2 linked regions of the Oryza sativa Japonica Group genome follow. The protein of the gene in region 1 interacts with the protein of each later gene in a pairwise test. Links are inferred from orthologs where the notes say so. Each region holds a gene or a part of one and is shown on either strand. Other genes may lie near its edges.

Region 1 (2,882 bases):
TTAGGTGGTTGGTATCTTTGACAAATTCAATGAGAAAGATGAGTTAGATGTGATTCTATTGCTTCGAAAATGTGTTTATTGACATGTTTATCAACAAATACGCTAATTCCTACTGTACAACACTGAAACTGGAAAAAAAGCACGTTAATAATGCTAATTGGAGAGAAATGTCAGAATTAGGAGGAAGTATTTGCAACAATAGTCGTATATGAGGAATCTCAAACTCAAGGTGATATCTGGTGTGTTTTTTGCAATTTTCTCGTGTTAAAAAGAGGGTTATTCATGCAGCAATGATGGCTTGCACAAAGTATCAACTGAATCTTGGGCAATCACGTGGCCTTGTCTCAGCAAAGAATGTGAAATACCACAAAGTTATGTCACTACTATTAAACTGTCATTAGTAGCAAAATTTACATGAGTCATATGTGAATATCGCAAAATTTGTCAAATCTATCAAACGAAGCAATTAATAGCCACTACTATTTGTGATCATCTTTGTGACTCCCGTGCGAATGCGACAGCTACTCTGCTTCTTCGTTAGGAAAAACAAAAATAAAGGCAGATAAACTACGCAACCATTGATTTGTTGTGCTCAGTTGGCAAAGTTGATGGTACAATTATGACGTTTGGTGGAATTTGCTTCTGAAATTTAAATTTAGACATTGCGTGTTTCATTATTTTCTCACGGAATTTAATTTCCGGTTACACAATCACATGATACAAGTAGTTCCTTCTCTTCTCTTTAAAATAAAAAAATAAAAAAAACCACGTCCGTCCGATTGCGATCCGGCGGTTGGCATCAGCTCTCGTTGACTCTCACCTTGCGGCCGCAGCAACCGCCGCCCTTCGCCGGCCGCGTCGCCGGCGCCGGCGACGACGCGGTGGTGCCGTCGGTGGTGGTGCGGTCGAGGAACTCGCGGTTCTCCTTCCAGACCTCGCCGTCGTCGTACACCTCCTTCTTCCAGATGGGCACGGACGCTTTGACCTCGTCGATGACGTAGCGGCACGCCTCCATCGCGTCGGCGCGGTGCACCGCGGACGCCGCCACGAACACGCTCGCCTCGCCGGCGGGGACCGTCCCGAGGCGGTGCGCCACGGCGAGCCGCCGCAGCGAGTGGGCGGCGCGGGCCTCCCGGAGGATGGCCGCGAGCCGGCGCCGCGCCATGGCCCCGTACGCCTCGTACCGGAGCTCCACCACCCGCCTCCCCTCGAAGCTGTCGCGGGTGGTGCCCTCGAACGTGGCGATGGCGCCCGCCGCCAGGTCGCGGACGTGGTCCACGTACCGTGCGATGTCGAGCCGGCCTGACCCCTCGTCGAGGATCTCCACGAGGTCCTCCTCCTCGGTTGCCGCTGCCGCCACGGGGAGCTCGTCGCTAGCCATGGGGTGGGGTTGAGATCGAAGTCGTCGCGTTCGTGGGAGAGAGAGAGAGAGAGAGAGATAAGGTTTCGTGGGGACGGGAGCGCGCCCGCGCGACTGCGCGAGGGGAGGCGGCGGCCGGCGGCGCGCGCTCGTCGACGGTTGGGGACGGGACCGAGCCCGCGCGACGGCGCAAGGGGAGGCGGCGGCCGGCGGCGCGCGCGTTGGACTCTGGAGCGGCGGCGGCGGCGCGGTGGAGGTGGAGATTGGAGAAATGTGGGGAAGGGGAGGGTTGACGTTGACTAGGGTTAGAAGCTATACATATCTGGTTATTGGGCTTCAATTTTATAGCCAAAACGACTAATAAAGTCTATAATTGGTCCCTAGCTACAATGCATGCGGGTCACCGCGAGGGATAGGGACTTAGGGTGGGAGTGGAGCGGCCTCCCTGCCGGCCATCCCCGATAGTGATGTGTTTTGGACCATTAGATTTTTCTTAGATGGTAGATATTAACCATCTTCATCCCCTAATACGTGAATTCACCATGGGGATTGATGATCGGTCCCATCGCCATCTATAAAATTTTGAGCTATGAAGTAATCGAGCGAGCATGCGCTAGATAAATCCAATCTGCTTCGGAATCTTCAGGTTTCACAATATTTGCAGCATTTAAATTGAAATTGAAATTCAGATGTAGCAGCAATAGGTTCAGCTTATGATCTCTTCATAGTATATTTAATAAGAAATTGAATTGAGTTCTGTAGGCTAGCTGAAGATAGGAAGATTTAAGACACGTTGCAACTATTTCTCATTTTGATACTATCGATCCCATCATTCCGCTTATCCTGATGTTTATTTCTACTGTTTGTTAGCAAACAAAAATTAATTTATAGTTCAAACTCCTAAGCGATATAAAAGAAAATGTTGCAAAATAAATCATGAAAAAAAACCTTAAAATCAAGTTCAAAACTAAAATTTAAAAAAATTAAATTTTAGTTTGTAAACATAAGTATATAAGTATAAGTATAAGTGAAACGATGAGGAACTACGACTTCAAGTCTTCAACGTACAGATCTGACCAAAGCTATAAATCGTTCAAACACTTTATGTTAAGCAACATTATTCATGAGCCCTAGCCCCTATTTTTCACTTGCACTTTGTAAATACGCATAGAAGCAATAAAGATTAATCTACTTTCAAGAGTCTTCGATTTGTGTTTTGCTCGGGTGCGGCGGTTAGAGTGGCGTCTACTGCTCATTCAGACCGACTGCAGCAGCAACAGGTGACGGCTGCGCAACGGGCGATCAGCCCGGAGGTATCTGTCCAGTCAGACCTACGCATCAACTCCGGTCAGACCGATCTCCATCGATTCGATGGTAACTTTTAATTCTGATAAAAGATTTAGATTTTGGTAATCCAACCATTTACCCTCTCTGATTAGTTTAGTTCTTTTTTGAATTCAGATTAGCTTAGTTGTTGTTGTTCGAGCATAAATGCTGAACACTAAGGCTGTATTTGAGGGAG
Region 2 (2,636 bases), about 19 Mb from region 1:
TTTCTTAATAACCGTGTCCAACTCTAAAACTTCTCGGACGGGGGGAGTACCAGGAATTGATCTATCACTCAAACAGTGCAACAACACACCCAATAAGAAAAAGGAATTGGTCTACACAACGCGTGGACTGATTTTGCTGAGATTGTTTTGGCAGGATGAAAAGGAGCTCTTCCCTCCACTGCTCTCCTGTGGCTAACAAGAAACCAGCGGAGAGGAAATATGATTTATTCCTCCACTACTTCTGCCAGTTGATCAATTTGGACCATCCACAATCCACATAATTTTGCTCTTTTAGTTGCCTAAGGATCATTTTAATTTTACCACTGACCTCCCTTAACTCGTCCACAAGTCACGCCATGAGGCACAACACAAGAACCCAACCGAAAATCACATGATTTATCTGCACCATTTGCTTCCAACTTTTGGAGTATTTTCCAACTTTAGCTTTATTATTATCAGTAACCCACTGATCAATCATGCACTGAAGTTTAAATCGATTTTGTTTCATGACAATGATTTCATCTCAATTGTCTTTACCACCGCTTTAGTCATTAGACAAGTCCACACAAGAGACAAGAAGCACACACATATATCACTTCAAATCGAAATGTGATTCAAGATTCATCAACATGATTGAAGGACAACGATGCCAAGTAACAATTATCATCGCGAAAACAGGCGATGCTTATTACTCAAACTTGCGTATATTGTATGATTGAAATTGTATCAGGAAACAAGTAGAAAGAAGAGGAAAGCAAAAGAAAGAACCGGTGGTTTCTTCTCTCTTTGCGCCCCCGTGTCTTCGAATTGGGGGGAGGGTGGTGGAGAAGTGGAAAGATTGTCAGCCGCCGCTGATGGGCGGGATGATGGCGAGCTCGTCGCCGTCCCCGACGGCGGCGTCCTCGGGCGCGTACTCCTCGTTGAGCGCGAGCACCATGGATCGCCGGATCTCCTCCAGCCTGGGGAAGGCGGCCAGCACCCGGGCGAGGCAGTCTCCCGCCGTGCTCCCTGCCGGCACCTCCACCGGGGCCTCCGTCACGCCCGTCAGGTCCCGCGCGCGGGCGAAGAAGAGCACCTTCACCTTCACCTTCGCCTTCGCCGCCGCCGCCGTGGGGTTGTCGGCGGAAGCAGCAGCAGCGGCAGCGTGATTGGCTTTGGGATCCAGCGCCATCGCCGGAGGAGGAGGAAGCGGCGGATGCCGATCTGCTCCGCTGCTGCAGATGCTGCTGCGGTCAATGGGATTGCGAGAAATTTATCGGTGAAACTGCGGGGATATGAGATTCTTTGAGAAGAAGGATGAACAGCAAGCGTGGTCGTGCCGGAGTGGTTATCGGGCATGACTAGAAATCATGTGGGCTTTGCCCGCGCAGGTTCGAATCCTGCCGACCACGTTTTTTTGAAAAAAGAATTGCATATTTTTTTTGGTTTTTCTTCAATTTTGCACAACATTTTTGTTTATACTACTCCCTCCATCCCATAATATTAGAGATTTTGAGTTTTTATTTACATTGTTTGACCACTTATCTTATTCAAAAAATTTGTGCAAATATAAAAAACGAAAATTTGTGCTTAAAATACTTTAGATAATAAAGTAAGTCAAAAAAAATAAATAATAAATCTAAAATTTTTTTGAACAAGACGAGTGGTCAAACAGTGTAAAGCAAGAACTCAAAATTCCTTATATCATGGGACAGAGCTCAAAATTCCTTATATCATAGGACATAGGGAGTAGTATTTATAAGACGCTTCACATTCAAATTTCATTTCAGTTTGCACAGCATTTTTCACTTCGTACTTTAGTAAGAAACAAAGATGCTTCACATTTCATTTCAAACCTGCTCCTGAGCTCCTTTGACATCGGCCCACCACAAATTAAACAGAGCCCAATTTCCGCAAACATTAATTAAGCCCAACAAGAGCCATCGAAAAGAAGCCCATTAATTACACTTTAATGGCTGCTTGTGATTTTGGCCCGTACCTGCTGGTAATTTTATCCCGTGGTAGCTCATAAATTTTTGCCCATTGGCATTGACAATCTCCGTACTCCGTTCGTAGTTGCTGATAAATTTGGCCTGTAAGAGTGATAATTTCGGACCATATTTGCCGGTAACTTCGATCGGTAGTTGCTACTCCCTCCATCCATAATGAAAGGGATTTTGAGTTTTTACTTGTACTATTTGACCACTAGTCTTATTTAAAAAAATTTTGAATTATTATTTATTTTTTTTAACTTACTTTATTATCCAAAGTACTTTAAGCACAACTTTTTGTTTTTTTATATTTGCGCAAATTTTTTTAATAAGACGAGTGGTCAAACAATACAAACAAAAACTCAAAATCCCTTATATTATGGGACGGAGGGAGTTCTTGCTAGTGCAAAAGTCCAGAGTTGATATCCTTAGACCACAAAATGGGTATAACACATACCTATCTTTCAAAACTGGTGCAAGCATAGCCCCCAAAAGTGTATTTATGATGGTTTCAGCTGACGTCATGCCAGAGGCAAAAATAAAAACTCACATAAGATGCACGTGTCAGTGAAACATCTTCTCTCTTCTTTATCCCATATCCCCCTCCCGCAACCTACAACCTCAGCGTCGCACTAGTGAGCGCGGAGGTCGAGCACGCTCCAAAGG

The links. The genes of interacting proteins can lie anywhere in the genome.
Region 2: the proteins of molybdopterin synthase catalytic subunit (region 1) and molybdopterin synthase sulfur carrier subunit interact in a protein complementation assay, tested with the Arabidopsis thaliana proteins (2 studies listed by BioGRID). The link is inferred for Oryza sativa Japonica Group from reciprocal best matches to the Arabidopsis thaliana genes AT2G43760 and CNX7.

The regions. Positions count from the first base shown.
Region 1 is NC_089036.1:2,166,428-2,169,309, reverse strand, and holds molybdopterin synthase catalytic subunit, read right to left. Parts: upstream 1,600-2,882; 5' UTR 1,382-1,599; coding exon 800-1,381; 3' UTR 569-799; downstream 1-568. UniProt on the Arabidopsis thaliana protein: Catalytic subunit of the molybdopterin synthase complex, a complex that catalyzes the conversion of precursor Z into molybdopterin.
Region 2 is NC_089036.1:21,642,609-21,645,244, reverse strand, and holds molybdopterin synthase sulfur carrier subunit, read right to left. Parts: upstream 1,223-2,636; 5' UTR 1,172-1,222; coding exon 842-1,171; 3' UTR 571-841; downstream 1-570.